Saccharomyces cerevisiae S288C: one gene and its partners. Changing the gene in region 1 together with any one later gene gives a genetic interaction. Each region holds a gene or a part of one and is shown in the gene's direction. Other genes may lie near its edges. The genes, in order: VBA5, IMH1, PUT3 and YDR042C.

Region 1 (7,975 bases):
CATTTAAAATAAGTGATATATTGAAGAACAGTATATTTCAGCCTGTACAGGATCCTACTCTTTCAACAAAAATGATTTCATCAAAATTAAATCACGCTGCAACATTGGTGAAGAATCTCAAAAGGTTAGTAACGTCAATATATCGCGGAGGTAGCTATCATTGTGGCAGCTAATTTAAAGGATATACAGTTAATTCAACAAGATTTTCAAGTCCATTTCTTTTGGGCACGCTGAACACGCTCAATGTAGTACTTGTTTTGGAAATCACTCGCAGCAAGTTTAATGGGACGAATTATATCAGTAATGTGTAAATTCCGACACAATGTTCGGTTAGTAGATTTACTGCTGGATTATTGGGTTCACCCGTAGACTGTTGCCGACTCCAAGAAAACTATGATCTCAATACAGGCATAAAGAATTGTTGTATCTGTGCCCATGTGATCTGTACCTTTTTTGCGGTACCAAAATCGCATGTTGCACTCACACTACGGAACACATCAACTTGTAACGACAACAATACAAAATACCAGGAGACATATCACTTTTTTTCGCTTAGAATGATTTACAATGGCATACACTTAGAAAAGTGCTATGACATGACGCCCTTACTAGAAGTTACATGATATTCTTTTTTTTCTTTCTTTCTTTCTTTTTCGGTACAACATAATTAATGCATTCATACAGAGCGCATTTCCAGCATCATTTATTGGATAGTAACTCCTCCCGCACTTTTAATATCAATGACGCTGACTCTTTTACTGACGCTGAGTCTTTACCGACGCTGAGTTTTTACCGACGCTTGTGAAAATAAAAAGTACGACACAGCTATATGCGTCGCAAGTTCAAATGTGGGTCTATCGAGCATGTTTATCCTATCCTGTTATGTCATTTTTATCGGAAGTAATAAAAATGTAGAAATCACTTGTTTTTGCCTTTTTTGTGATTTTGCTTTCATTTTTTTTTTGCCCTTTTTTCACCAGCTTGGGGATCAACATCCTGATTTCTTGTTACTTCGATTATGTCTAAAAAGTGCCTTGATTTGAGAGAAAATATTTTCCTCATCTGGCAAGACAACCAAACCATCTTCAGTGAATTCTTCGTGTGTCGCCTTGTCTATTAGTTCCGGGTTTCTCATGAACATTGTAAACGTAAAGAACGGTACCGTACATGCCAAGCCAACCGTCATTATTATTCGTTGAACATATCTGTAAGATTCAACCACAGCATCTCTTTCCGGTGAGCCCCAAGGATAATCACTAATGAATGTATAAGGTGATGCATATGCTATTTCTGCCAATGTATCGTTTCCAAGGTTCTTGTAGAGTTGGTTAGGCATGGTTTGTGTCCATATGGCACCAGAAACGGAGGCACCGATAGCAGCGCCTAGCTTTGAAAAGGTATACTGAATGCCGGTTATTACAGCCATCCTACTATGCGTAGTCATGGCTTGCAGTATGACGATCACTGAATTGCTGCATAGGAGACCGCTCAAACCCATGATAACAGATGCAGCGATAACACCTTCATGAGACCCAGATCCTCCTCTGTATTTGTAAAAAAGGCCCATGCACACCATCCATGCAGCACAACCTCCGATTACAGAAAGTTTCAGTTTCCTTGTCTTTGCCACCAACAAACTGTAGAATGGAGATGCAGTAGCAGCAACAAAGTCAGGAAGGTTTACTATCCGAGCAGCCGAAGTGGACGATTCTTTCATCGATACCAGCAAAACAGGATACAGATAGTCGCACGAAATGAAAAAGGTGAAAAAATTGAAAAAAGTAACACCAAGGGGTGCCCAAATTCCACGATCACTTAGTAATTTGAACGGTAGAAGAGGAGATTTGGCAAATTTGGCCTCCCAATATAAAAAAATGAAAAATAAACAGCCACCTGAAACTAAAGTGGCAATTATTTTTGAATTGTGCCACTTTTGTGATGTCTCATTAGCCAACGTCAAAGGAACAAGAATACACCCTAGCGACACAGTTATTAATAATATGCCAACAATATCGAGTTTCCAGAATAGAAACACCAAATTCTCAAATAATCCGCCCGTTCTTTCCTTTCTAGCCTGTTCTTTGAGAGATCTCCACTCAGCAGTCTTTGAAGATTTGTACTTCATATAAAGAATAAGAAATATAATTGGCAAGGTAGAGAGTGGGTAAATAAAAGCCCACATTGCAATATTCCAGGACCAGTTTTTCTGAGGATTTGCTGCTGTGATAATATTGCCTGAAATCCATGGTATTATGATATATGGCCAATATGAGGCGTACTGGTAAAACATTCTCCATTTCAAGGAGGAGAAATCTGAGAGTATTAATGTCAGGAGCAGATTTGTTCCGACGTATCCACAGTTATAGAAAACCGATCCTGCTGCATACATGGTGAGACGGGTCGCCTGTGATTGAATGATGGTTCCCATTATATAAAAAATAGTTGCAACTAAAAAAAGCCTTAGTCTTCCGAAGTGGTCAGAGAGTCTAGAGTAGACAACTTGGGATCCGACACTCACAACAGCATTGATAACTTGGACAGTTGAAAGTAAGGAGTGTTCTGAATATGAGTTCGTTGCATAGCCCGTATAGGTCGATCTAAGTGTGTAGTCTAAACTAATTCCAAACCCACATACAAACGCGGTACTTATCAGTAGAATTTTATATTTCAAGGAATCAAACTGTGCAGACATAATTTCGTTTTCTTTGAGCTTAAAAAAGGTCGATGTCATAGAGTACGTGTCATCGTTTGAGTGACGTTCTCGCTCAATAATCTCACAGGACTGCCTAATTCCACTTTTTTTATTACTTGAGGCACCAACAACACTAGAACTCATCCGATAATTTATTTACTTGATTATTCTTTTTTTTTTTTTTCTCGTTCCAGTCCATAAAACTATTTTACTTTTCTTATTTATGTAAATAGTATTTAAGATTCTACGGTCGCTACATCTGCTAGAAATGGAATTACTTTAATACATTCCATGTTCTCATATATATTTTACTGACACATTTTGTCACTATTTTTTTTTTAACTTTTTTTTGGAAGTACTAAAATTATATGCTCGTAATTATTGAGTATCAAAAAAAAATAAAAAAAATTGCTGTGACGCCCCTTCAATGTGGTGTCTATACACCTGGTGACTTTAACTTTAACTTTGACCTGTCGTCGTACAATCAACTTACTTTCCGAAAATCCACAACGAACCAGTTATACCGAAGACTTTTGTACGACAAGAATACTGTACCGTCGAAACTATCTCTTTTCAAACTAATGAGTGAAGCTTGTGTTTATGTCTGTTGAAACAAGGAAAAAAATGCGGTGCCTGTCGACAGGATATGAGCACAAGTGCAAAATCATCAAAAAATTGAGTACCTAGATCCGGTGGTGTAGGACGAGCAAAGTTCCTTCATAAACAAACCGTAAGGGTTACTGATACACAATTTCCTTTGTGTAAAGAGTATTTGAGCAAATTAGTCGGCGATTGAAAGCAACACCCTTTTTTCTATATATAGTAGGTGAAAGTTAACATGCGAGTAAAAGTAGTGCCACATTTCCTTTGCAGCAGGTGCAAATTAGTACATATTTAACAGATAGCGCCGCACCTCATATGCAGCGCGTACATGATACGAGTCGACAAAATATGCAAAAGATAATAGTGTCATCACACCTTTATGAGAAGCGAATTTTTTTTTTTTTTGGTTTAAATATATATATACATATATATAGATGTATTCTAGTTATACTCATACCTAGAACTGATCAGACCAGATCATACCTGGTATAGAGCTTAATCGATAGAAATTCAAAAATATGGAGGAAACTAAGTACTCTTCGCAGCAGGAGATAGAAGGAGCATGTGGTTCAGACGCTTCATTGAATGCTAGAGGTAGCAATGATTCTCCAATGGGACTTTCCTTGTACCTCTGCCTGGCTTCGTTAACTCTTGTACTATTCATAACTGCACTGGATATTTTGATAGTGGGAACTATTATTGACGTGGTCGCAGAACAGTTCGGAAACTACTCCAAAACAGGTTGGCTCGTTACAGGCTACAGTTTACCAAATGCTATTCTGAGTCTCATTTGGGGAAGATTCGCATCTATCATAGGTTTCCAGCATAGTCTCATTTTAGCAATACTTATTTTTGAAGCCGGATCCCTAATTGCTGCCCTTGCCTCTTCAATGAATATGCTCATTTTCGGTAGAGTTGTTGCTGGTGTTGGGGGAAGCGGACTCCAAACGCTTTGCTTTGTTATTGGTTGTACGATGGTTGGTGAAAGGTCACGTCCATTGGTGATTTCCATCCTAAGTTGTGCATTTGCTGTAGCTGCTATCGTTGGTCCTATAATCGGAGGTGCCTTTACAACCCATGTTACCTGGAGGTGGTGCTTCTATATCAATCTTCCTATCGGTGGTCTTGCCATTATTATGTTTTTACTCACCTATAAGGCCGAGAATAAGGGTATACTTCAACAAATTAAAGATGCTATAGGAACAATCTCGAGCTTTACTTTTAGTAAGTTCAGACACCAAGTTAATTTTAAAAGACTTATGAATGGCATAATCTTCAAGTTTGACTTCTTTGGTTTTGCCCTCTGCTCTGCAGGGCTGGTCCTTTTCCTACTGGGGCTAACCTTTGGTGGTAATAAATATAGTTGGAACTCTGGCCAAGTCATCACATATTTGGTTTTGGGTGTCTTACTTTTTATTTTTTCATTGGTGTACGATTTCTTCCTATTCGATAAATTCAACCCGGAACCTGATAATATATCCTACAGGCCTCTCCTTCTAAGAAGATTGGTAGCAAAACCAGCCATAATAATAGTAAACATGGTAACATTTCTATTATGTACCGGTTACAATGGGCAAATGATATACTCTGTCCAGTTTTTCCAACTTATATTTGCGTCGAGTGCATGGAAAGCCGGTCTTCACTTGATACCAATCGTTATTACCAACGTTATTGCGGCCATTGCAAGTGGTGTGATTACCAAAAAGCTCGGTTTAGTTAAACCACTCTTAATATTTGGAGGCGTTCTTGGGGTAATTGGAGCAGGGCTTATGACACTTATGACAAATACGTCCACGAAGTCAACTCAAATTGGTGTTTTGCTATTACCGGGGTTTTCCCTTGGATTTGCTCTACAAGCATCGCTCATGAGTGCACAGCTTCAAATTACCAAAGATCGTCCAGAAGCTGCTATGGACTTTATTGAAGTAACAGCTTTCAATACATTCATGAAGTCATTAGGTACAACTCTTGGTGGTGTGCTTTCAACCACTGTTTTTTCCGCCTCCTTTCACAATAAAGTATCACGAGCTCATCTAGAGCCTTACGAAGGAAAAACGGTTGATGACATGATTTTGTATCGTCTTCAAAACTACGACGGTTCTCATTCGACTATTGGAAACATTTTAAGCGACTCCATTAAGAACGTATTTTGGATGGATCTAGGGTTTTATGCCTTAGGATTTTTGTTTTGTAGTTTTTCATCCAATAAGAAATTAATCATACCAAAAAAGGACGATACACCAGAAGATAATTTAGAAGACAAGTAGCGCAGTTATTTTCTTATTTTCATTTTATTTTTTTTCGCCTTTTATACAGACTTCAACACAATCAGAATCAAATAGGTGTATCGCAATGGAATGTAATTTCTTAAGTATTCTATATGTACTTAAAACCTATTAATATATGGATCAGTAGTTCATAAAATTCATGCTGGTGCGTTCAAAGATGTGTCTTTAGTAAGAAATCTGGAAAATTCGCGAGCCTGAATATACTCATCGCAGTGCAAGAAAAAGGTTGTCTTCTTTTCTTTTCTTGACAAAAATGCAGCGATAACCTGTAAAGAGAATCTCAAATAGACACATGATAGCAGCTGCGTAATAACAGACCTCAACCGCAATCACATTAAAGGCGTAAGCAAATTTGGCCAGCAAAATTTTCGTTTGTTCCTCGACATAAATTCTCATCAGAAAAACTGTTTACTGTCAGTGCTTTTGTCTTTGCCGCCAATACGGCAGAGAATTACATAGTATACTACGATAAACTTCTATAAATTTAAATATAGATAAAAATAGCACGATATGAACCACGGTACTCTCCAATAGTATACTTGCGATAAAATCAGCAGCTAAGTACTGAATAAGCATTTAAATTATGGTATTTTTTTTTTGCTCCTGCTGAATATTCGGGATTCTTAACGAGAGAGTTTCTTTTGTGATGATATAATATTATTTTCTAGTATAAGTAAAACTATCAAAAAAAAGTAATAATAACGTAGCTTGTTTATATACCATAAAATGTACCAGCAAAATTTTGTTTGGCACAGACAGGTTCAAAGGAGTTATTTCTTAAAGTTCTCAAAAAAAGTAGTGGATTAGGACATATAGCCCTGAAAAGTTAAAAGCGACTTCCTGAATGCCTTCTAATTACACACAAATATATGACGTAAGCAGATCGTATACTTCGTAGCTAGAACTGGAATGAATAAAAATAGGAAATTCTAGTTGTCTTATCTTTTATTATCGAATGAGACTTTAGCCAACTCGAAAAGGTTTTCGAACTCGCCACTCTGCCTACAGAGGCGGTAAAAAATGGTATTTCGATCAGATATTAGAGTGTATGGATGATCATACTCCTTGACTCTGCCCATTTCCATCACCAGAATTTTGTCATAATCTATTACTGACCTTAATCGATGAGCAATAGTCAAAATTGTTGTATTTTTCATTGTTTCTCTTATAGTTTTCTGAATTTTAGCATCAGAAATATAATCTATTGAGGCGGTTGCTTCGTCAATTAGCATTATATTACGTGCACCAAGCATGGATCGTGCCAAGCACAAAAGTTGTCTTTGCCCTTGAGATAAGTTTGAACCACCTGATTTCACAACAGTATTCAAATCAATGAATCTATTTCTTAGTTTATGACTAGAAAAATTAGGCTGCTCTTGCTCAAAAATCAAGCACAATTCATCGCATTCTTCAATTAATCCCACTTTGGATAGTACGCCATAAATTTGTACATCAGAATACCGATCGAAAGGATCTAAATTAGATCGAACAGTTCCATCAAATAAAGTAGGATCCTGTGGGATGCAGCTTATAGAATTTCTTAAACGCTCTAAAGGGATATGTTTTATGTCTTTGTTATCAATAGTAATCGTACCGTTTTCCCAGTCTGAAAGCCGGTAAATAGCCGCTATAATAGAAGATTTCCCAGCCCCTGTTCTACCAACAATACCAACTTTTGTTCCTGCTTTTACCTTGAATGATACATTATCTAGTGCCTTAGAGGAATGAGGAGAATAGCGCAATGATAAGTTTTTTAGTTCAACATCTCCTGTTTGAGGCCAATTAGCTGGAGGTGATATGTAGCCGTTTGATTCGGAAGGTATATCTGTATATTCTTTTATTCTCTCTACTGAACTCATCAAAAGTTCAACGCTTGAAAATACTTTTATGATCCATTGAGCAGTTTCAGTAAAGGAAAAGGCATTCGATAACAGTATCCCCGCTAGCCCCGCATCCAACTATGAGGCCTTCATTATGATCATTACAGAAGAACTAAAAAGAACAAGTGTCCCAATTATATCCACTCTATATGTGATCCACTCGGTGGCCATATTGAGATAAAAAAATGGAGCATTACTTCTGTCAATTGCAACCAAAGATTGAGTGATAAACCTACGCTCATCTGCTAATGCTCTAATTGTAGTTACTCCTTTGATGGCTTCAGCGAATAACTGGTGTATTGGAGAGATATTGATGTTATCTATTCTCTTCAACTCTCTAGATGCACGAAGATATAACGTACATACGGTATAATAAAGAGCGCATAAAGGAATAGCAAATAACAGAAATTGAGGAGTAACATATCCAATTAAAAGTATAATCCACAGACAAACAACGACGCTATAAGAGAGTCCTTCGAAATTAGGGATCAATTGTTGATCAATAATATCCA
Region 2 (9,081 bases), on another chromosome or scaffold:
TACGAAATGGTTGATGTGGAATTCTCGAAATTTTTAAGGCATGTTCAGTTACTTTATTTTGTGTTACAGAGCTCAGTCTTCTCAGATGATAATACTTTACCACAGTTGCTCCCAAGATTTTTTAAAGGTTCATTTAGCGGTGGTTCTTGGACAAATCCATTTTCGACTTTTATTACGGATGAATTTGGTAATGCGACAAAGAACAAAGCTGTCACATCTAATGAAGTGACCGCTTCGTCGTCCAAAAATTCCTCAATATCAAGGATTCCACCAAAGATGGCAGATGCTATTGCCTCTGCGTCAGGATATAGCGCTAATTCAGAAACAAATTCCCAAATTGATTTAAAAGCAAGCAGTGCCGCGTCTGGTTCAGTTTTTACACCTTTCAACCGTCCTTCTCATAACAGAACCTTTTCAAGAGCAAGAGTTTCAAAAAGGAAGAAAAAATATCCATTAACTGTAGACACTTTGAATACAATGAAGAAGAAATCCTCGCAAATTTTTGAAAAATTAAATAATGCTACAGGTGAACACTTAAAAATTATAAGTAAACCCAAAAGCAGAATTAGGAATTTGGAAATAAATTCAAGCACATACGAACAAATAAATCAGAATGTTTTACTATTGGAGATACTGGAGAATTTAGATCTGTCAATTTTCATCAATTTGAAAAACCTGATTAAGACACCCAGTATTTTGTTGGATTTGGAAAGCGAGGAATTTTTAGTTCACGCCATGTCTTCGGTCTCCTCAGTACTAACAGAGTTTTTTGATATAAAGCAGGCTTTTCATGACATCGTCATCAGATTAATAATGACAACGCAACAAACGACCTTAGACGACCCGTATTTGTTTTCCTCAATGAGGTCCAATTTCCCTGTCGGACATCATGAACCTTTCAAGAATATCTCTAATACACCTTTGGTCAAGGGCCCCTTCCATAAAAAAAATGAACAATTGGCACTCTCCTTATTTCACGTATTGGTGAGTCAAGATGTGGAGTTCAATAACCTTGAATTTTTAAACAACTCCGACGATTTTAAAGATGCTTGTGAAAAGTATGTCGAGATTTCTAATCTTGCGTGTATTATTGTTGATCAATTGATTGAAGAAAGAGAAAATTTGCTGAACTACGCAGCAAGAATGATGAAGAATAATTTGACTGCAGAACTATTGAAAGGTGAGCAAGAAAAATGGTTTGATATTTATTCCGAGGACTATAGTGATGACGATTCAGAAAATGATGAAGCTATCATCGATGACGAATTAGGATCTGAGGACTATATTGAACGCAAAGCTGCGAACATAGAGAAAAACCTTCCATGGTTTTTAACTTCAGATTATGAAACTAGTCTTGTCTATGACTCAAGAGGAAAAATTCGTGGCGGGACAAAAGAGGCACTGATTGAACATTTAACCAGTCATGAACTTGTTGATGCGGCTTTCAATGTTACAATGTTAATAACTTTCAGAAGTATATTAACCACAAGAGAGTTTTTTTATGCCCTGATTTACAGGTACAACTTGTATCCTCCTGAAGGGCTGAGTTACGATGATTACAATATTTGGATAGAAAAAAAGTCAAACCCGATTAAATGCCGTGTGGTCAACATTATGAGAACATTTTTGACGCAGTATTGGACAAGAAATTATTATGAACCTGGCATACCACTGATTCTAAATTTTGCCAAGATGGTTGTATCGGAGAAAATACCGGGGGCAGAGGATCTTTTGCAAAAGATAAATGAAAAACTGATAAATGAGAATGAGAAAGAACCAGTGGATCCTAAGCAACAAGATTCGGTATCGGCAGTCGTACAGACAACTAAACGTGACAATAAATCACCGATACACATGTCTTCGTCTTCTTTACCATCTTCTGCTTCTTCAGCGTTTTTTAGATTGAAGAAATTGAAGCTCTTGGATATTGACCCATACACATATGCCACACAATTGACTGTACTTGAACATGACTTATACCTCAGGATCACTATGTTTGAATGCTTGGATAGGGCATGGGGTACCAAGTATTGTAATATGGGTGGTTCTCCGAACATTACGAAATTTATAGCTAATGCTAATACGCTAACTAATTTTGTTTCTCATACCATTGTAAAACAGGCAGATGTCAAGACACGTTCAAAATTAACGCAATATTTTGTTACCGTTGCCCAGCATTGTAAAGAGTTGAATAATTTTTCTTCAATGACTGCCATAGTGTCCGCTTTGTATTCCTCCCCAATCTACCGACTGAAAAAGACATGGGATTTAGTTTCCACTGAGTCGAAGGACCTTCTGAAGAACCTAAACAACCTTATGGATTCCAAGAGAAATTTTGTGAAGTATAGAGAGCTGTTGCGATCCGTGACGGACGTTGCATGTGTTCCCTTTTTTGGTGTATACCTATCTGATTTAACATTTACGTTTGTCGGAAACCCAGATTTTCTTCACAATTCAACCAACATAATAAACTTCAGCAAGAGGACTAAAATCGCAAATATAGTGGAGGAAATTATAAGCTTTAAAAGATTCCATTACAAGCTGAAACGATTGGATGATATTCAGACCGTTATAGAAGCGTCTTTGGAAAATGTCCCCCACATTGAAAAGCAGTATCAATTATCACTGCAAGTGGAACCGAGATCAGGAAACACCAAAGGCAGTACGCATGCTTCTTCTGCTAGCGGTACAAAAACTGCAAAATTCCTAAGTGAATTTACAGATGATAAAAATGGCAATTTTTTGAAGCTAGGTAAGAAAAAACCTCCTTCTAGGTTATTTCGATAAAAGTTTATACAATTTGCTAATCAAGAAGAACCTTAGCTTTATGTTTGATTGCTACACTCTATTATTTAAGATGGCTGCTTTTACTTAATATTCTTCGTGATAATACTGTACTGGTGGAGTGTTTTTCGTTTTCGAGGATTTGAGAGTACGCTTCATTTGCAGTTCTTCTTGATAAAGTTCGTTTTATATATATATATCTATTTTATATCTTTATATATTTTATTACACCCAGTTAAGTTATCGATCCAAGATTTTAAATGCCCGATTAGAGGAAACTTATTACCTGAAAAAATATCAATTAGTGATTCTATGAAAAGCTATTACCCGCATTCTCATAGTTCGGATTTTCAGATCCAGCAATATAAGAGAACCAAATGTAGCAGAAACGTCAAATAGTAAGCAACAGGAGTTACATTTGAGGTGATTTTAACTTAGGGAAACATTTGCTGATTCAATGTTCAAACAGCTGTCACAAATTGGTAAGAATCTTACCGATGAATTAGCGAAGGGCTTAGCCGATGATATGAGCCCTACCCCGTCAGAACAACAAATCGAAGATGATAAGAGTGGCTTGCCAAAAGAAATACAAGCTAAATTAAGAAAATTTGAGAAATATGAACAAAAATACCCTTTGCTACTCTCCGCATACAAAAATGAAAAATTAAAGTCAGAGAAGTTAGAGGCTGTTGAAAAGATTTTAGCGGAAAATACACCCATATCTAATATTGACGACGCAGTGGATACGTTGCCAGCTTTTTTCCAGGATTTAAACAACAAAAATAACCTATTGAATGATGAGATCAAGAGATTAACTAAGCAGAACTCGGAAATTCCAGAAAGCGCCTCTAGTGAAACTCTGAAGGATAAAGAAGAGGAATTTTTGAAAAAAGAGCAAAATTATAAAAATGACATAGACGATCTAAAAAAAAAAATGGAAGCTTTAAACATAGAATTGGATACTGTACAAAAAGAAAAAAATGATACTGTTTCAGGTTTGAGAGAAAAAATAGTTGCACTGGAAAATATACTAAAGGAAGAAAGGGAGGCCAAAAAACAGAAAGAAGAAGTATCTATATCCGAACTGAAGGAAGAATTGGCTATAAAGAACCATTCTCTCGAGGACAGTCGAATGAAGATAACCGAATTGGAGCAAAATTTGTCTTCGAAAAGTACTATAATGGAGGAAAAGTCCTCAGAGTTGGCAGAACTAAATATTACTTTAAAAGAGAAAGAGCGCAAGCTGAGTGAATTGGAAAAAAAAATGAAGGAGTTACCGAAGGCGATATCTCATCAAAATGTAGGAAACAATAACAGAAGGAAAAAGAATAGAAACAAGGGAAAGAAAAATAAGGGAGGCATAACTACGGGTGATATCAGTGAAGAGGAAACGGTCGATAACTCAATCAATACTGAAGAATATGATAAGCTTAAAGAAAATTTGCAAGAATTACAAGAAAAATATAAAGATTGTGAAGATTGGAAGCAAAAGTATGAAGATATAGAAGCAGAACTAAAAGATGCTAAAGAATTGGAAAACTCACAGCTCGAAAAATCAGCAAAGGAGCTGGAAACCCTTAACACCGAGTTGATCGATACCAAGAAGTCATTGAAAGAAAAAAATTCGGAGCTAGAGGAGGTGAGAGATATGCTGAGGACTGTAGGCAATGAGCTTGTGGACGCAAAAGATGAGATTAAAGAGTCTTCGAGTAAACAAAATGAAGAAGTGAAAACCGTTAAGCTGGAGCTCGATGATTTACGCCATAAAAATGCAACGATGATCGAGGCCTACGAAGCTAAAAATACTGAGTTGAGAAGTAAGATAGAGTTATTGAGCAAGAAAGTAGAGCATCTGAAGAATTTATGTACAGAAAAGGAGAAAGAGCAGACTACATCGCAGAACAAGGTAGCCAAATTAAATGAGGAGATATCTCAACTTACCTACGAAAAATCAAACATAACAAAGGAGCTTACTTCTTTAAGAACCTCTTATAAACAAAAGGAAAAAACTGTGAGTTACTTGGAGGAACAAGTTAAACAATTTAGTGAGCAAAAGGACGTGGCTGAAAAATCCACAGAACAGCTGAGAAAAGATCATGCTAAAATTTCTAACAGATTAGACTTATTAAAAAAGGAAAATGAGACACTGCATAATGATATCGCAAAGAATTCTAATTCCTACGAGGAGTATTTGAAAGAAAATGGTAAATTATCGGAAAGATTGAATATTTTGCAAGAAAAATACAATACCTTGCAAAATGTAAAAAGTAATTCGAATGAACACATAGATTCTATCAAAAGACAATGTGAGGAACTAAATGTCAAGTTGAAGGAATCTACAAAAAAAATTTTATCTTTAGAAGATGAACTAAATGAATATGCTAATATTGTTCAAGACAAAACCAGAGAAGCTAACACATTGAGAAGGTTAGTTTCGGACAGTCAGACAGATGATTCGAGCAAACAAAAAGAGTTGGAGAATAAATTGGCCTATTTAACGGATGAAAAGAATAAATTGGAAGCAGAATTAGACTTACAAACATCCAGAAAGGCCACTGAATTACAAGAGTGGAAGCATACAGTAACTGAGCTGAAATCGGAAATACACGCTTTAAAGCTTCGTGAAGAGGGACTAAAATCAGAGGTTGACGCATTGAAACATGTTAACAATGACATCAAAAGGAAGACTCAAGCCACTTCAGATGATTCCGATCAGTTGGAACAGATCACATCTAATTTAAAACTCTCATTGTCTAAGGCTGATGAAAAGAATTTTGAGCTACAGTCTGCCAATGAGAAACTTCTGAATTTAAATAACGAACTTAACAAGAAATTTGATCGATTACTAAAAAATTATCGTTCATTGTCCTCTCAATTGAATGCTTTAAAGGAAAGACAATACAGTGACAAGTCAGGAAGAGTTAGTAGGTCTGGTTCTATCGGTACTCTAGCTAACGCGAATATTGATTCCTCACCAGCGAATAACTCTAATCCAACTAAATTAGAGAAGATACGATCATCAAGTTCATTGGAGTTAGACTCTGAGAAAAATGAAAAAATTGCATATATAAAAAATGTTTTGTTGGGATTTTTGGAGCACAAGGAACAACGGAACCAATTACTTCCTGTAATTTCTATGTTGTTACAACTGGACAGTACTGATGAAAAAAGACTGGTTATGTCTCTGAAGTAAAAATGTAGCTGAAAGCAGAAGATACGTATATATTGAAACAGTTTTTTTCTTCCTGAAATATATCAAGAAGTTGCTGCATGTCTATATATAAAATACTAAAGCAATTTCTTTTTAAATTGTAATTTAATTCTTCCTTATTTTCTTCAATTCCCTGAAAATTAGGACAAGAATTCTTTTATGTAATCAATTCCGCCGACACAATGAGAAACTGTTGATTGATCATCACCTATCAACTTATTTATTTTAATGGCAAGATCGACAGTTTTTTCCGTTGAATCGTGTTCTAATATTAATCCGGTTCCTGACTTGTTCCAGTTTATTACATTTTGAAGAATTTCTTGTTCAGTTATGACAGAATCATTGAGAAGGAGGCTCCAATCAAAAGTATCGTGATCCCATAAGACGGCTTGTAAGCCAAATTGCCTTGTTATTGCTCTTACTCTATTATCTATTCCGCCATATGGAGGTCTGAACCATTTGGGGGTATGGTTGCCAGTAGCATTCATCGCCCAGATGGACCATTCAATTTGAGCTATAATTTTTTCATTCGATACATTTGGCAAATATACGTGAGACCAGGTATGTGAGCCGATTAAGTGTCCCTCCTTTTGCATTCTTTGATAGATATCTGGATGTTGAACTATATTGACACCTAAATTGAAGAAGGTGGAATTATGCTTCAACCGGTCCAATAATTTAGTAGTGGAAGCAGAAGGACCATCGTCAAATGTCTGGGAAAGTTTGGAACATGTGTACACATCATCGTGTTCGGTGCAGTGATGGCAATCGAAAGAGCACGAGTCCCTTGGAACACTGTCGCAATGGTTTTGATCATATTCCTTATAATCTGGAATTTGACTGAAATCAATGAAATCTAAAGGTATATAAGGTGGATCTAACCCAGGCCATTCTTTTAACCCGGTAAATGCACTAAGCCAATCCGGAAAAGGCGTTTTTGTAGCTGCCCTTTCCAATACAGGAAATTGAAAGTCTATCTGCTTTAAATCTTCCCTATTAGCTTCCGCGTGAACAAATTGCCCCAGACAGGAAAGTGCAATAATACATTGCAAATCAATTGTATTTAGTTGTATTCTCATTTTCAATTGCCGATCCGTAGAAATAATAACAACTCTTTTGCAGTTTGTTTACCCACTGTGGGTTTTTGATAAATAATAGAGGATTACTGAAGGAGAGAGAATATTTTAAATGGATTTTGATAATACTACAAAAGAATAGCCAGTAATTTTTGCGTTGCGTCACAAAATCAAATATCTAGTTTGTTCCCTGACGCATGTTTCTCATGTGTTACCCGTCCTTTTGTAACCTTCACTGCTACAGCCGTACTATGTGGCATTTATGGGTTAATAGAAAGTTCCATTAATCCGACATTAAAATTGGATGGATTAATGGAGAACACAAAGGCAAAAAAACAATGGAAGAACAAAGAAAATTTAGCGGAAGTAAAAATAACAGCCGAAAGCCAAATTCAGGCTTATCTTGCCTACTCTTTCTTTTATCGAATTCCTTTAGGCCGTTGCAATAGAAAAGTAATAAAAACGCATATACGTAAGTTGTAGTCAGTGTAATTGCAATCTATTATGCGCATCAGGTGCGCATACTACATCCATTGGTGCACAAAAAAAGGAACGCAGACAAGAAAATTATTCAGTTTGCTGTTCGTGATGAGCCATCCCTGAATATGACTAATGTTAATGTTCAATTTGGGATCTTATTTTTTTTTGTGCAGTAATAAGAATCTTTGAAAAAAAACTATATAAGCCTATATAGTTTGTAAGATATAAGACAAAACACACCTGCTTTTCCACTACACATTTTCGTTATTATATAAAAAAGACAGCCAAGTATACTTGTCAACAAAATAAACTCATAGCAATTACACTATAAAAACAATAGCATCAAAAATGTCACTAAGAAACATATCAATGATCACAAAAAATTTGCAAACAACTGCCAAGTGTTATGTCCCAAAAAGTTCACCTACATCAACAACTATTCCGGTTATAAGGGATGCTAGTACTACTCAATGTCGCAGAATAACTACCGTCATCAATATTACGAGTCTGAAAGGATATTCTCCATCTCCAAGAACAGTTCATGATAAGCCAATTGTTATTTGCACTGACAACGAAGAGGTAGAGACTGTATCGGAGCACGTAAAAGTATAATTTGAATTAATCTACTCTTAACACTGTTCAAATGTACGTGTAACGTTTTGACGCTAAAAGATTCTAAAAAATTACTTTTTAAAGTTATACCCTCTGACTTTATGTGACATCAGCATCCTAAGTACCTACCGTTCATAATTTGACGCTTTTCCTTATACATTCAAGCATCGATATATATGATTTTTATATATGTCCTCTATTCTAATACATACTTTTTTACTTTTGAAATAACAAAATATTCTTTTTATTTTTGCGAGTTGAATAATTAAATAAGAGATCAAAGATATATAGAGAGAAACTTTATTTCTCGGAAATCTTACTTCTAGTCGTAGCGTTCGATGTAGTCTGTATCACCAATACATTCTGCAATTGTCAATTGGTCACTACCAATAAGTTCGTTGATTTTAATAGCAACCTCAACTGTTCTTCGTGCACCATCGTGCTCTAAGATCAAACCTTTCCGTTTTCCCTTCCAAGTATTTATGTCCATAAGTATTTCTTCCTCTGTTCTGAAATCATCATTAGTGATTAATTTCCAATCAAAAGTATCGAGATCCCACAAGACAACCGTTAGGCCAAACTGTTTTACTATAGCTCTAACCCTATTATCAATTGCACCGTATGGAGGCCTAAAATACTTGGGGAAATGTTTGCCTGTGGCATTCATAGCCCAAATTGACCATTCAATTTGGGCTACAATTTCTTCGTTTGATAAACTTGGCAAGAATTCATGTGACCACGTGTGTGTACCAATCAAATGACCCCTCTCTAAAATATGCTCATATATATCAGGATAATTAACAGTGTTTATCCCCAGAACAAAAAAAGTGGTTCTTTGTCTCAATTTCTTGAGCAATGCCTCTGTCGCCGGGGCCGGACCGTCGTCAAATGTTTGGGAAAGTTTGAAACACGAAGTTA
Region 3 (9,040 bases), 250 kb from region 1:
TAGAGGATATAATATATAACGAACATTTTTTACCTACTGTATAACGACGTATACTCTATACATCTTGTGTATTCTTTACAAATAATCGTCAATGTTGGGGTACCTTACGTCAGCGTTCTCTTCACACCATTCTGACCAACTTTTTAGGTACTTGTTACCGCACCTTTGCAGAACTTCTATATTGCCAACAACAACTAGTTGCCTTCTGGGTCTTGTCATGGCGACGTTCAGTCTTCGTTCTTCCTTAAGGAAACCAACTTCAAATTTTTCATTGCTACGAACTAAACTCAATATGATAACATCTTTTTCACGGCCCTGGAACCCATCTACAGTTGATATTTCAATATCAGTTAATTTTAATTCATCATGGATCAATTTTTTCAGATGAGAAACTTGTGCATTGTATGGAGAAATAACACCTATAGAGTTCTCCGGGACGTTGAATGACCTTAAATTCTCAATGTGTTCTTTTACAATGGCAATTTCGCCCTCATTATACTTAGATCCAAGGATAGTAGCTTCATCTGCAGTCTCTTGAAATTCATCACCTTGCGTATCATACCAAATTAAAGGAATTTTTGTATCGTCATCATCCTCAGATGGCGTAGCATCGACGGTCGGTAGGTCTATCAAAAGTCTGTTCGCGACCGTTGCATCGGCCAATAGTTTCCCATTATACATTGAGTGCGATGGAAATTCCATAATTTTTTGATTCATCCTGTATTGAACGTTAAGAAATTTTACCATATCCCTTTTCGGGAATATTTTGATTATTCTGTCAAATAGTGTGGTTTCCAAATTGTGAATGACATTTTTGTCGTCTTCTGTTTTGATTGTGGGTGGCAATTGTTTATTGTCACCAGCAAGGACTAGTTTGTGGAACTGATTTTGATGTGCAATTAGTGGGATCCAGCATTGTGGTTCCATGGCCTGTGAGACTTCATCGATGATCAAGGTATCGAAAAGCTGGAAATTTGGATCATCTCTATAAAGGGAGCATAGTTCTCTCGATGATGAACCGTGTAAAGTGGTGACGACTATTCTCGATTGTATTATTAAGTCCTTAATGGTTTTGAACTCTCTTTTCTTTAAATCTTTGCGCAGCAGTTTAATTTCGTTCCAGTTTTCTTTACGTTGCTTATAGTTTTTTAGTTTTTTATTCTCCTGAATTAATTTGTCAATCTCCTGGGAAATGTCCTTCACAATAGTATTCTTTTTACTAAGTATATCAAGAGAGTGTCTTTTATTAGAGTCTAATAGCCTAGCAGGATGACCGATTCTTAATAATAAATTATTCGGCACAAGAGGCGTTAGCCTCTCCAGAATCGTATCCACAGAAATATTGGAAGGCCCACAAATTAAGATTCTCTCCTCAGGATTTTTAATTAGCAATTGCTGGATCAATTCAATTAATGTGAATGTTTTACCCGTACCAGGAGGACCATGTATAATGGTCAAGTCATTGTTAATGGCAAAATTAATGGCAGTTTTCTGGGAGTCATTCAGATTCGGGTTTAAAAAAGATTTAATGTTTTGAAAGCTGTTTGTATTGGGGATGAAGGGGCGTTCGTTTACCAAGTATTGTATAATTTTGTCTTGTATGGGTGAACTAATTTCAGACAGTTTTCTCATTGTGGATTCCATTCTATTATACGTGACGACATTGGTAGTCTTTAAAATGTAAAGTTTGCTATAAGAATAAAATGTGGTAGCAATAACATCTTGAGATTCTTCTAGAGCTATGGTGATTTGAGTATCACTCATTTTGTAGACAACGCCTGAGCATTCCGCTTGCTCGCCATTGGAGTCTTCAGACACCTTTTTGACTTTGGGCTTAGTCTTGGTATTTACTTTGGTTTTTGCAGGGCGTACCAAAACAATATCACCAACCTTAATATCACCCCTTTGAATTTTGTCGTTAACCGCCAAGTTAGGTCCCAGTTCCATATATAATTTGCCAATGAGACCGGATCTTATGTTTTCTAGATGTATGTTGTTTATTGCCAAGCCATTTTGCACCAATTGTTGGATAGATAGCGTTGTTAATAGCCTAGAAGTTGTTTGAATGTCTTGTTCACGTTCATGCTTGATGCTTGATAAAAACTTAGAAGCCAATTCTTTGTTCATTTCCCTCTACTCTTTTTTCTATATTTCTCAAGAGACAACTTTACATCAGCCTTCATATTTTTGAAATATATGTAACGTACAAGATTTTCTTAGCGTAAGGATATGCAGGCGCACATTTGTGTATATATGACAGTAAGAATGTTTAATTATAATATTTGCCAGTTATATAAACCTGTGAAAAAAATAATAGAATATGGTGCGTAATATATAGAGGTAAAGGGTACTACATCACATTCAAATTGCCGAATCTGTCCTTGTAACCAGGTACGTCCCATTTACCCTTCTTGACCATCTCTTCTACCTTAGCATCAATTTCAGGTTTGATCTTTGTCAGGTCGTCAACAGTTAATTCATCGAAAGGTCTTGCAGATTGAATATTATCTAAGGTGCTTTGCAAATCCTTTAACTCCTTGGAAACTAAGGATTCTGTCTCCTTGGCGTTGGTCATTGCGTGCTTTTCAAAAGACTCAATCACTTGTAATTGTTTGGAGGCATCGATTTTGACCGGCTTATATTGCTTAACGTATGATTCTATCTTGTCAATGACTGAAGTGTTTTTCAACACAGATCTATAATGACTGAAATCTACTTCGGTGGGTTGACTTTGCAGCTCTAGTAATTGTCTACGTGCCTCATCGTTTCTCTTTTTAAAACTCGATAATTGAGTGGCAGTCGACCCTGTTATACGTAGAGAAGAGATGACTTTTGCCCAGTCAAGTTTGTTAGCAGCGGATTTGGCCAAAGACATAGTCGAACAAAAATATAATTAGGTGATTCTGCAATTAAGTGCACGAAAAATTTCTTTTAAATCCTAAGATTGTTCTTTTGCGTTACGTGTCAATATGAATATATAAACTTATATAGAAAAGTATTGTACTAGTAGAAATATGTTTTACACCTACGCTAAGCAGCAAGTGGTAATTGGTGTATCTTTTACTTTTTTGGGGGCATCAAGACAAATATCCAATCAAATCGAAGAGAAAATAATTCTTGTAACCCGCTCATTAGTCACGTGGTCATCACGTGAGCATAATATATCACGTGATATACACCCATACCTCGTTTATGGGATTGAGTCATCGGATATGTCATTATAAACGATATTTCTCCGCGGCAATGAGGTGGCGAATATTGGAGTAAAAATGAAAACATCCACCAGGTGCTTGATGATATACTTGACTTCGGCGGCAATTTAAAGCTTTCTAAGCAGCAATTAGTAAGTAACCATTACAATAACGATAAATACGACACTGGTCCAACTAACTCATTGATAGGATAATTGCAGTGATCTTAACGAGTTTAATGGTGACCGACCAAGGCAGTAGGCATTCGATACAATCTAAGCAACCAGCCTACGTTAATAAACAACCGCAAAAAAGGCAGCAGAGATCTTCTGTCGCATGCCTTTCTTGTAGGAAACGTCATATAAAATGTCCTGGTGGTAACCCTTGCCAAAAATGTGTTACGAGCAATGCCATATGTGAGTACTTGGAGCCGTCAAAAAAAATTGTTGTGTCGACAAAGTATCTGCAACAACTGCAAAAAGACTTGAATGATAAAACTGAAGAGAATAACCGCCTGAAAGCTTTGCTCTTGGAGAGACCAGTGAGTGTACGTGGTAAGGATAACAGCGATGATGACGAGAGGCATATAAACAATGCACCCTCAAGTGACACATTGGAAGTATCCAGCGCTCCGGCGGCTCCTATATTTGACCTCATGTCCAATAGTAACACTGCGTCCGATAACGATAACGACGATGACAACAGCAACAGAATCACAAATAATAGGAGCTATGATCATAGTTTGGAAAAATACTACAAAAAGGCCATCAGCATCTTTAAACAACCAGCTAATGCTAATGGCGAAAATGGCAACGGTGCCAATGGTCATGAGGATGATGATGAAGATGATGAAGAAATATCAACAAATTTTGCTCAAAGAAGTGGTAGGCTCATAGAATCTCACAATGGATTCCATTATTTTGTTGGATCTTCTTCAATGACATTATTTGGGTTAGAAATTCAATCTTTGGTTACAAAGTATATTTCGGTCAAGAATTTTCGACCTTTGCCAATAAACACCAAAAACAAGATTTTAAATTCAAACCTGAACCCGGCTATAAGTTCTTTTATCAATTCAAACAACTATCTTTTCTCGTCCTATAATTTTTTGAACCCTATATCGACTATTGTCAACTTAAACTCAATCAACGATAATTTATCTCCATTGATGTTTAAGATAATTTTGAAAAGCGATACGGATGGTAGTAGTGGCCAGGAAGAGGTAATACAGTTTCAGTTGCCTTCGTATAATTACACAAAACTATTAATTGACTGCTTTATAAATTATAACGATGGTTGTTTTTACTTTTTCAACGAAGGCCTGGTTAAATGTGGCATTAACAAATTGTACTTGGAAAATAAATGGCTATACTATGATAATACCAAAAAAGCTTTGGACAATGAGAATGATCCAATTTTACAAGCTGTTTGGTTTTGCAAAATTTTGTTAATTTTAGCAGTAGGTGAAATGTATCTGGGTTCCATCAATAATGAAATGTTGAAGAATTATTCTAATCAGCCAAAATTGCCCGGTTCAAAATTTTTTCAAATGGGTTCTAAAATTTTTAATTGTTTGTTCTCAAGTGAAAGATTAGAAAATGTGACTAAGAAAGGCGGTATTGAAGTCCTGTTGTTATACGCGTTCTTCTTACAGGTGGCTGATTACACTTTAGCCTCTTATTTTTACTTCGGTCAAGCCCTAAGGACGTGCTTAATTCTAGGCTTACATGTTGATTCTCAAAGCGACACTCTATCCAGGTATGAAATCGAGCATCATAGGAGACTTTGGTGGACAGTTTACATGTTTGAACGAATGCTTAGCTCAAAAGCTGGGTTACCATTAAGTTTCACTGATTATACAATCTCTACAGCACTGCCAGCGGATATTGATGATGAAACTATCGAAGAGAAAAATAGTCACTATGTTTTCAGAAAGGCAGAATTGATTTCTAACTGCGTTACTATTGTGAAAATCAATGCACAAATTTTGAGCAAATTATATCAAAGGCAACCTGAGACAAACATCATAATTACTTTGAAAGTTGTCATCAAGCAGTTGTTGGAATGGAGGAACAATTTGTCCGATTCCTTACAGGTGGATTTTACGCAAAAGGATGAAGATTTCAAAATATCGAGATTGTCAACCAATATGTTTACGGAATATTTTCAAGGAATAAACTTGGCCGTGAGACCTTTATTATTTCATTTTGCATCCATTCAATTGAAAAGGTTCAAAACGAGCAATACTTTCGTCAACTTACAAAACTATTCTGCCACAATATCTTCCTTATTAACATGTTCTTTGCATGCTTCTGTGAATACTATTAGGTCTCTGTGGAGTTTATTACAGAATAGTATGCTTGCTATGTTTAGTTATATGGACAGAGAGTATCTTTTTACTTCTTCTTGTACTTTATTACTATTCAACACTGCTTTTGGTATTCATGAACAAACACTATATCATTTGGATCATTCTCTGGAAATTTTCACACAAATGAGAAACTTAGGCAACATTCCAGCAGGCTTAAGAAGAGCACAATTATTAACATTAATGGCAAATTTGGATTTCCACGGCATAATGAATGACTTGATTACTAAATATAACGATATTTTGAAATTTGATTCTATGAATTGTGAAAACGATAACATAGTAGAAGATAGCAATGAACCCAAAAGAGAAACCGAAAAGTGTAAACCTCACAAAGATGGCGATCGCATTGACCCTTCAATTATAGACTGTGATAAATCAAACACCAATACAAATATGATCAAGAACGAATCTATATCGAACATTGTTAGCATACTTCCGGAAGGCGCGAAACCAACGCTGACTGATTATAGTAATGGTAATAATGATGTTAATGATATTAACGTCAATAACTCGGAACCTTCTACTTTTTTTGATATCATAACTGCGAGCTTGGAAAATTCATACCAAACCACGCTAACTGAAAAGGGCTCTCAGGTGATGGAAAAAAACATGGATCAGTTGGATTCCGTTCATAATCTAAATGATGACGATTTACAACAATTGTTGGAGGATTTAGGCAATATTGATCATTCCGATGAAAAACTTTGGAAGGAAATCACTGATCAAGCAATGTGGCTGGGAAATACTATGGATCCAACTGCAGCTGCTGGTAGTGAAATTGACTTTACTGATTATTTAGGACCATAACACCATTACAAAGACAAAGAAGAAAATACTGATTTCTTTGTTTTCTTATGCATATATTATACATTTCGCACATTATATAGAAAAGTGGACATTTAATTCTTCAAATCTTATTTAAAATATCTATCACAAGACAGCTCATTTACGTAGCCTCTTGACAACATTGTCGCTATCACCTTCTGTCCATAATATTAGCCTTTTTTGTGATTTGACAAGCTCGTTGTAGCCTAATAGTAGTTTTTCAATTCCGTTTTGTTCTTGGGCTAACCTCAAAGTAGTATTTAATGTACCTCTGTTTTCGTTCCGTAAAGTACCAATGTTGTTCAGTATATCGTCCTGTGGTAGTCTAGATTTGATGTTATTGTTCAAAACCTCGAAAAACGACACAATACCGTTTCTGCTAATTAAATTCAAACCACCATCATCTGCTACCCTTTGGACTTTGTAAAAAATAAAATAGATTAGTTCGCGTAATCTTTCTTTCAAGTATGGCATATTGATCAAGTTTAACAACCATTCAAATACACCTTTCTTCTCTAACATCTTGTAATCTTCATCCGTTTTAATTCCCTTACAAATGGTTGTTAAAACCCAACTCAATTCTCCATAGTATATTTCCATATCAATTTCTTTCTTATTGTCATCTTGTTGTCTCTTATTGTAGGACATCATCACATCAGATACCATAGGGATGTCCCAACTACGTATGGTAGAATTTGATAATACCCAGCGGTATGCCTTCTCATGTAAGGGCGCAGTTGGACTTCCCAATAGATCAACAATTCTAGAGATAGAAAACCAAATTAACGGATTGATAGGATCTTGATTTTGTTGTCTCTGGTATAAAATCCTTTTAATCAACACTTGGTAAATGCTATTATATTTGATTAAATCGCTATCAGATTCTTTTCTTTCATTATCCTTGCTAGTTATTTGCTTTTCAAGATTCATCTGGGCAGTTTTCTTCTCCAAAGAAGAAGCTAAATTTGATAAATGTTCGTAACTTATATTGGCAACGGTATGACAATCGCTTAATGAGCAAATAATAAACTGAAATATTTTGCAATCAAGGAAATTTTCAAATTCATATCTGTATGTTACATTGCCCTCGTCATCTTTGACCATTTTTACCAGCTCTTTGTTATGGATTATTAATAGCAGTAAAAATAATGGATCGTACATATCAACACCAGATCGTTCGGTATCATCGTAGTACTTTTTGACTAGGTCACACCTTGTAGTAGCATCATAATTGTTTGTATTAGAATCGGTATATAATTCAGGGACTTGAGGCCTTTCCAATACGTATCTGTCAATGGACTTTTTGATCATGTTTTTTTGTAGTGTTAGTATCAACCCCTCCCTTTCTTTGGTAATCAGCCTCGTGTCTCCAATGGCTTCCAAGATTTCTTCCTCTTCGTCTTTGATAAATTCCCAAGAAAAAATCATGTTTGTCCATGAAGTAGCGGTGTGAGATTCGATAGTTTCTAGAATTTTCAGTATCAACTTGTCGTTACTGGAAATAGTACCGGAGTAAAAAGTCAATAATTTCTCTTGAACTATTGGCGTCGAATTTACGACCGGGTCGATGCTGAATAAAGAGAATAATATCATTGTGCTTAAGAACTTTCGATACGATGAATCTTCATCATTGTCTTTAATCATTATTGATGAGTAACTGTCATTGCTTAATAAAAGTTGAACCATTCTTTGCGATTGAATTGACTTTTTGCTCACACAAAAAATTAATACAATAACGTATTCAAGAACCTTAATTTGTTTGATCCACTCACTGCCTAGAATAGCCTCTAATTGAGAATTAATGATTTTGACATTCAACTTATTTGGTACCTCTTCAAGTTTTAAGAGCTCAGCCATCGCTCTTAGTAACTCAAAAAAAGAATTGGAGATAACTTTTCTTTCTGAAAGGTACTTTGTAAGGTAAAGAAGAGTTTTATGTAACCATGTTTCTACCCCTGGATAAGTAAAATTATTGTGTGCAGCTATGTATCTTACTGTAGCAGCATGATATTTATGGTCGCTCTGTGATAAAACACATTTCAAAATTTCATTTCGTTTCGTTTCGTCATAGAAATCAATATAAGTGGTAATCATATTTAATATTTCGTCAAAAATCTCACTTTTCGAGGTAGTGTAAGTACTTTTCGCAATTTCATTACCATACTTGGAAATGGTTTCATGCGCAAATGCGCTAAAATCTTTATCCTGCATGTGCTTGAACAAAGCAGCCGTTGTTACAATACTTAGTAAAGGTGAATCCTTGATCCTCCAGATACTTGGTATGAAAGATGGGAAAGAAAAATGTTCCCATCTGTAAAAAGCTTTCAGTACTAGATAATTCAAATCACTAGACACAAAACTATTTATCAGAGAAGTAGTTTCTGAAAGGGATAGCTTACCCATAGGATCAGATGAAGCATCAACACAAACTTTGTTTTCTTCAAAAAATTTAGCCAAAGAGATGTTTACTTCCTTAATTGAAGCAGGATCTTCATTTGCAGCTTTGTTCAGTATATTCTTTACAAGGGATATTTTTATAGTTTTTCCTTCGTTGAATAATTTTTGGAGAATGTTTCTTGTGGACTCTAGTTTGGTGCTACACATGAGTAGCGAAGTTAAAGCTGAAGTACTTAAATACTCACTAACACTTGTT
Region 4 (6,788 bases), on another chromosome or scaffold:
CGGCCGCTGGGCTCAATTGACCATAAACAACGGAGACATTAACACCACCTTTTTCGAAAGTTGTACCGTCTTGGATAACCATAGAGGTACCACCACCACCATCGTTACCACGGGTCCAAGTATCAGCGTGGAACTTAACAGTATCGATGGATTCCAAACCTTGCGTGATTTCAGCTTGTTTGCGACGGATAAGAGCTTCCATTTGTTGTCTAATTGGAAGATTCCTTGGATCTTGAGGGGCAGGCATCTTTATGTGTATTTAATTGTGTTCGAAGAGTTCGGTTTGCTATGTTTGATTTGCGAAAAGAAAGCTTTTGATATGCTCAAAAAAAGAAAACCCGGAGAATAAAAGCTTAACAAAGAAAGACAATAGGTGGAAAAAAAAAGGAAAATCCGTGTCCTTATATAGCCTTTCGAAACGAGAACAATGGGCAAAGCAAGCTTTATCTTCGGATCGTCCGTCAGCGCTTTGGTTGCAGTCTTATGCTTTGTTCAAGCTGGAGCGTTATTGGTGGGAGAACCAGAAAAGGCGAAAGCGTAGCGTTCTTTGAAATTTGGCTTCTGTTCCTGCGACTCGTTTAAAAGTAGAAGGGCCCGCGGAGCCGCTGTGAAAGATTTCTTTTACTCTTTCAGCGCAGAAATCTCGCAGGAGCTCAGCAGAAAGTGCCTATGACGGTAATCCCAGGGGCTAATGGTGTGAAGGCACTTTCTAAACAATTGAAATTAAAATACCGTGCCTATAGTAACTTTTTTTTACGCTGTGAACCGTTCAACACACAGTAAAAACTCCGCAGGAAATGGTTTGAAGAATCTTAATCACGAATTAGGCGTATTGTTTTTCCCAACAGTGAACGAGAGGACAAACTCCAGAGGATTTGCGGGCTTGATGATAAAATGTATTGTTGAAAAGATCGCGAATGCAACAATTACGGTGGGGAGAAATATCAACAAAAGGGCAAGGCTATGCCTTCTGGAAAGTGGCAGACTTGCACTTTCCTCGAAAAGAAAAATGACCGCAAGATCCGGTTGTTCTCAACCTTCTACATTAAGACATACTTCTACGATTTTCGAATGCCGAAGCAACTATCGCTGAAATTTGTCATGTCAAAATTGCTACTGGGGGAGAAGAATATATATGGAAGTAATTATTATTTACGTTGCTGAAATGGCAGGTTAGACGCATGTTTTGCAAAATAAGTGGTTTTGAAAAGAATTGATACTAGGAATCGGTGCAATACCTTCTACCTTTCTTAATAGGTATTCTTGAATAATCTACCTCACTTTCTGTCCCAGATACGAGATGTCGAGCGCCTCGAAAATAGATATCGTTTATTACGTTAGATACGGAAAGGTCTACGTGTCATAATAAATTGCATCTGGATTGCGATTTTGGGTCATGCCTAACTGGGAAAATATTTACATCTCCATGTTCTCATTCTGCCTTTGCTTTCCTTCAAAACATGGTTTTCAATTCAACCTAGGGTCTACCGCGGAACCATATGTACGCCGTAAATGCGAGTGTTCTTGAAAGGTAGTAATGTGTTCCCTCTCAATATGTAAGTCCTTCAAGAGTATGCACTTGCAGTTGCACTGTTTCGGGTAATTATCCGTCATTAAGAAAAAGATGCTTCCACTTTCTCGTGTTTTTACGCACAATCGTGCCATTTAACCGGAAATAGACTCCATTGCATTGATTGCTCTCATAAAAATTATAGCCCGCGTTTGATACTTGTTTAAAATAGGTGTCGACAAAGTTAGTTTCTGTCTTCCATTTAGTTTTTACAATATGACACGTCAAATAAATCTTTTCGATTTAGTTAAAAGAGTTACCTGGCGATAGCCTTCTGGTAAAACACCTATTCATAAAACAATCTTAAAAAACCAAAAAATTACCAAACAACTATGTAGGACATATTTTTACAGTTCATAAAAACGCTTCGAGCTGCCGATATCGGTATCAAACACCAAAATATACATAGTGCTGGTTTAAGCCAGAATATCTTGGTGAAGCTGCGCCTATATGCCTTGTATTTAAAACAAGTCACGAAAAGCTATTGCCAAAGGAACATAAAAACTCGTATCTATGTTATATTATAAAAAAGATATAATATTTATATATTATTATTAATATTATTTTTTAGTTCCGAAAGGAGAAACTTATAATTTTTATATCATTATTTATTATTATTTTTAATTTCAACTCCTTTTATACCTATTACTGCATGTGGAGAAAAGATTAAACCAGGCGAGGCAATTTACACTTATTCATTGAGATAAGATGAAAGAGCCACGCCTCGTTACATTTAGGCTACATCATATAACAACTAGTCCCAGCCTCCCCCCTTCCCCACCTTGGAGTACTTTTCTCCAGAAATAGAAAGCTAAGAATCAAAATCGCACCATTACGTATGAGCTCATTTGCCGTCTTTTCCCCGACAATCCGGCACAAAATCTGGCTACCCGTCGTATGTATGGTAGACGATATTATGTACTCTAGTAATGCTATGTACGAATAGTTTCAGACGGGCACAGGGACCTAGAACGCCAAGCGCAAAAAAAAGCTGATAGGAATTCGACGTCACGAACCCTTGGAGTAAAAGAAAACTAAAATATACGAACTTCGCGGAAAATAAAAAACTTTTCCTTCAGTTGTTCCTCGTTCGAAACAGTAATCTACACGGACCGTTGCTTATTTTTAGCCAGATTCTAGTTAAATAAAAAAAAAAGAAATAAAATTAAAAAAAAATTAAACTGTGGCAGATAAGCCTTTCTAATCGAGGCAGTGTGTTTCTTTTGACTTCACCGTTTGTCTTCGCATAGTTCCCCTAAATATTCTAACTAGAAAAATCGCTAGTATTTTTCTACTTATAAGTTGATTTTCCGCATATTTGTCTTTGAAACGTTTGAGACAGGGAAAACTCTGTTTTCTAAAAGAGGAAAAAGCAAAATGAAGTATTGGCTTGGTTGCGGTCAACACCCTCAGGGAAAGCCAAGAAATGCTTTTTACTGTTTAGCAGTGAAAAGGCCGCACCGGAAAAGAAGGGAAAAATTCATTGGGTCTAGATTTTTCTTATCGGTAAAAGACTATGGCCTCTTGAGGACCCTTAAGCGTGAAACGAAACGCGTTGAGCGCGCAGAGGGGCTTCGCCGCCGGTCAGGGTGTTTGGGGTGTTTTTTCTTTTAATTATTCTCTTGGCAGTGTCATCTTTCTACAGTCTGGCTGCAGGCTCCTTTTCCGTTATTCATATATAAGGAAGAGAACTTTCCAAACCCAAATTAAAAAAAATTTGGTTCCCATCTCTTAACTAAAAGAAATTATATTACTCCACCTCGTTTACAGTTTTTTGATGCTATAAGGGAATTCTGCAGCTTTTGAAAGTAAAAATCATATCGTATACGATTCTGCAAAGTATTATTGTACTGTAATTCCTACCATTACGGCGCCTTTTTCTACCATTCACCTTTCTTGGATTGTTCCTCTCGACCAGCATATTACTACCCTTCGCAAACTTTCAGGCAATGTTTTACCCATATAACTATAGTAACCTCAATGTTTCTACTATGCCCGCACTGCCGGGAATCTCCGCATTTGATGGAATGCAAGATGAAGAAAACGTTGAAATAAGCCCGGAAAGAAAATATCAGACGCTACTACCAGTTCTAACTAATTCTCATGTGGTAGAGAATGAACTAAAACACAAATTAAATAAGACTGCTTTTGATTTCCGATACCAAACCAAATCAGAAAATGGCTCTGAAAAGTGGGAGCCAAAATACTTAATAACGCCTAATTTACAAACAAGAAGCGTCTCTTTTGACAATTCATCGGTACAATATAATTCAGATTCATCCGAAAAAAGCTCGCTATCACAACTAACTTGTAATTCATCAATAATACAACAGCCTGAGAACGGAATAGTTTCTAATGATGCATATAATAAGATGGCAAATAGTAGATACTCTCTGAAAACGCGGAAGCAAAGAACAGATCCAAGAAATACGTTATCAGATGAGGAAGACCTTGAACAAAGGCGCAAATACATTTGCAAAATTTGCGCAAGAGGATTCACTACATCGGGTCATTTAGCAAGGCATAATAGAATTCATACGGGCGAAAAAAATCATTGTTGTCCGTATAAGGGATGCACGCAGCGATTCAGTCGACATGATAATTGCTTGCAACACTATAGAACACATTTGAAAAAGGGACAATAATTGACGGTATACCCGTGTTTTTCTCATTAGCAGTACTACTATTCCGCACTTTACATCATTTTTTATAAACTCATGCATACATACATTGTACTTCAAAAGATTTTTTTTTTTTTTTGGCATCATAAATCACTTTCAGATCAGTTTCCTTTCAAACGCGCGGCATTAAGAAAACTTTTAATGTCAAAAAAACGGAAGCAAAAACCCCTCCCTTCCGCTTAAGATCATGTCTGGACATTTTAGTTGTAAGGCTGCGCCTCGGTAGCAAGTAGTGCTGCAACAAGGCTATTATGCCACCTAAACAGACCACTTTTGCTTAATACGAGACTGTGACTACCTCCTGACTTCCTGTCATAACAAAAAAACAGACGTCGCTGCATTAACATTTACAACCCCAAACCTTCTTCATTCATTGCTTTTCTTTTAGAAACTGTGGCTTTTTGACATTTGCAGTTTGCATAGTTACTTTTTGATCACTAACAACGATATATTATCGTTGAACAATTTACTACGCAAAACAGTTCACGTGATGTACGTCAGATAATTCACTGAAGGTACTACCTTTCGAGCATCTCTTACAGCAATGGTAACAGCTCATTGAAGAAGAAAAAAATAAGACAAATTTTTTTAGAGCTGCAAGCGTTTTACTAGGCATCAGAACTGTCTCCGAACAATAGTATAGTTAATTATTATACTTCAACCCTAGAAGAAATACCCGAAGATGTAAGGATGTTTTTGTTCCTATAAGCTTTTTTTTTTCACAAAATTTTCATCCACTCTACGTCTTCCATACGGTCATATAAAAGGTGCCATATCCTCGGCCAAGACAAAAGGCTTCAGCTCCATATCTTTTGAAATCATGTAAACGCATGGGGCTCAAGTACTGAGCAAAGTAGGAGAAAGGATATTGAACATGTTCAGAAGAACGTGGTATCTTTTTCCTTATTATACATTCTCTTGGCGAGTGATCGAAAATATATATGATGATATCCTATAACAACAACAACATGAATTTCTTCGTCCGAATCCTTTATAGGTGGAAACAAACTTTGACAATAGCTTTTTAACACTGATAATATATTTTCGCGTCATTCTTGCTGATTTTCTTTTTTCTTATTCTTATTGTGCTTCATCCTCCATCTTCAATGGCGGTAACGTAAATCAGAGTAGCTTTCATTTTCTTTATTTCTGTTTCTGTTTCGCGTCGGGATAACAAAGCGTACTTACTAATGGCTATTATTTTTGCTAATGACACAAAATCCTGTTACCAATTTCCAAGAAGAAAGGCGGATAACAGGGAAAAATTTGAATCTGTGTATCTGCAGTACAAATATTATATATTGGAAGAACACGCACTTATATCTTCTTCATGTTTGTCATTTTATTAGAAACTTTACTATTGAAAATAGCGAATCAACAACAGCTAACAAACGACTAGGTCTCTAAGAGAAAAAATCTTTTTCTTTTCACAACATGGAGCAAATATTATATAATCAAAGCCTTAAAATTTCTACCCTTTCTACTTTTCAAGGTTTAAAGTTTCTAAAGGTCCTCATTTTTTCTATTTTCCAACAACTATTTTATAACCCAGTTATACAATTATTCGGAACGAAAGCCTCAATAATGGAATCTGATTCCACTACTCTGCTCGAAAGTAGTTGGAGTACTGAGCGAAACTTTCTCAATATGAATTCAGATTCCATATCTGCTACCAAGAATGTTTTTATATTATTTTTTACCATTTTCAGATTAGCGGAGTATATTGTATACAAACTCTCTGACCAGAAGTATCGGTTACACACATCCCTGAATGTCCAACATTTCAGGTGGAATTCGAAGAAGAATACAAACAGAAAAAGGACACTTTCCTTTAGCAAAGCTTACTTACCAAGAACAAATATACTACCGATTTTTGTAGCCGATGGACTAAAAAATAGATTCTCAGGCCCGCTACCTGGTAAGTCCTTGGAAAGCTTCCAGAAACTAAATTTATTGAGCGATAACAATATTAAGCGGTATGCAGTACCAGGAAACAAAGCAGTGAACACACTTTTATGGCAAGAGCAATACTCATAACGGGCCGCAATATTAGTACAAAATTGTTCATCATATAGTTAAAAAATATAATTAAACTTACTTATAAATTCAGTATAACCATTTAATCTACTACTTTTTGCCCCTCTTCTTCACCTATTTTATTTACAAGTACGAAATCTTTTCGGTCCCAAGAACCAGCGTAATTATAGGATTGCCATCATCTTTTTACTTCTTTTCCAAATGTTTTTTAAAATCGGGGCTATCCAATAGTTCCAATACTTTTTGTCCGACAGCACTAGTTTGAGCTTTATCATCGTTTCTCAGAGAATACAATTCATCGATATTGCTTAGTGATTTTTCGAGGCCATTGGCGTCCGAACCCAAGTCCAGCGATATTTCGGACCTTTGAAAGAAGTTACATTTCATTCCGACGCCTGCCATAGAGTGCTTCGTAATGTAAGCTATCAACATCTGTAGCACTTCGGGGTTCGTATCCCAGGCCCTAATGAGCCTCTTATGTGTATGTCTTTCAAAATTCT

What was found.
Region 2: mutations in VBA5 (region 1) and IMH1 together harm fitness more than expected from each alone (negative genetic interaction), as found in Saccharomyces cerevisiae (one large-scale study listed by BioGRID).
Region 3: mutations in VBA5 (region 1) and PUT3 together harm fitness more than expected from each alone (negative genetic interaction), as found in Saccharomyces cerevisiae (one large-scale study listed by BioGRID).
Region 4: mutations in VBA5 (region 1) and YDR042C together harm fitness more than expected from each alone (negative genetic interaction), as found in Saccharomyces cerevisiae (one large-scale study listed by BioGRID).

Annotation. Positions count from the first base shown.
Region 1 is NC_001143.9:656,303-664,277, reverse strand, and holds VBA5 (basic amino acid transporter), read left to right. Parts: upstream 1-3,813; coding exon 3,814-5,562; downstream 5,563-7,975. Other genes in the region: GEX2 (glutathione exchanger), read right to left, coding at 989-2,836; YKR104W (uncharacterized protein), read right to left, coding at 6,522-7,442; putative multidrug transporter NFT1, read right to left, coding at 7,542-7,975. UniProt on the Saccharomyces cerevisiae protein: Transporter required for vacuolar uptake of basic amino acids.
Region 2 is NC_001144.5:745,930-755,010, reverse strand, and holds IMH1 (Imh1p), read left to right. Parts: upstream 1-3,241; coding exon 3,242-5,977; downstream 5,978-9,081. Other genes in the region: Ras family guanine nucleotide exchange factor CDC25, read left to right, coding at 1-2,787; chitin deacetylase CDA2, read right to left, coding at 6,136-7,074; DPA10 (Dpa10p), read left to right, coding at 7,900-8,163; chitin deacetylase CDA1, read right to left, coding at 8,486-9,081. UniProt on the Saccharomyces cerevisiae protein: Involved in vesicular transport between an endosomal compartment and the Golgi apparatus.
Region 3 is NC_001143.9:405,115-414,154, forward strand, and holds PUT3 (Put3p), read left to right. Parts: upstream 1-3,429; coding exon 3,430-6,369; downstream 6,370-9,040. Other genes in the region: ATP-dependent 5'-3' DNA helicase HCS1, read right to left, coding at 76-2,127; ATP7 (F1F0 ATP synthase subunit d), read right to left, coding at 2,351-2,875; URB1 (Urb1p), read right to left, coding at 6,505-9,040.
Region 4 is NC_001136.10:540,101-546,888, reverse strand, and holds YDR042C (uncharacterized protein), read left to right. Parts: upstream 1-5,685; coding exon 5,686-6,288; downstream 6,289-6,788. Other genes in the region: HEM13 (coproporphyrinogen oxidase), read right to left, coding at 1-247; transcriptional regulator NRG1, read left to right, coding at 3,520-4,215; mitochondrial 37S ribosomal protein uS10m RSM10, read right to left, coding at 6,475-6,788.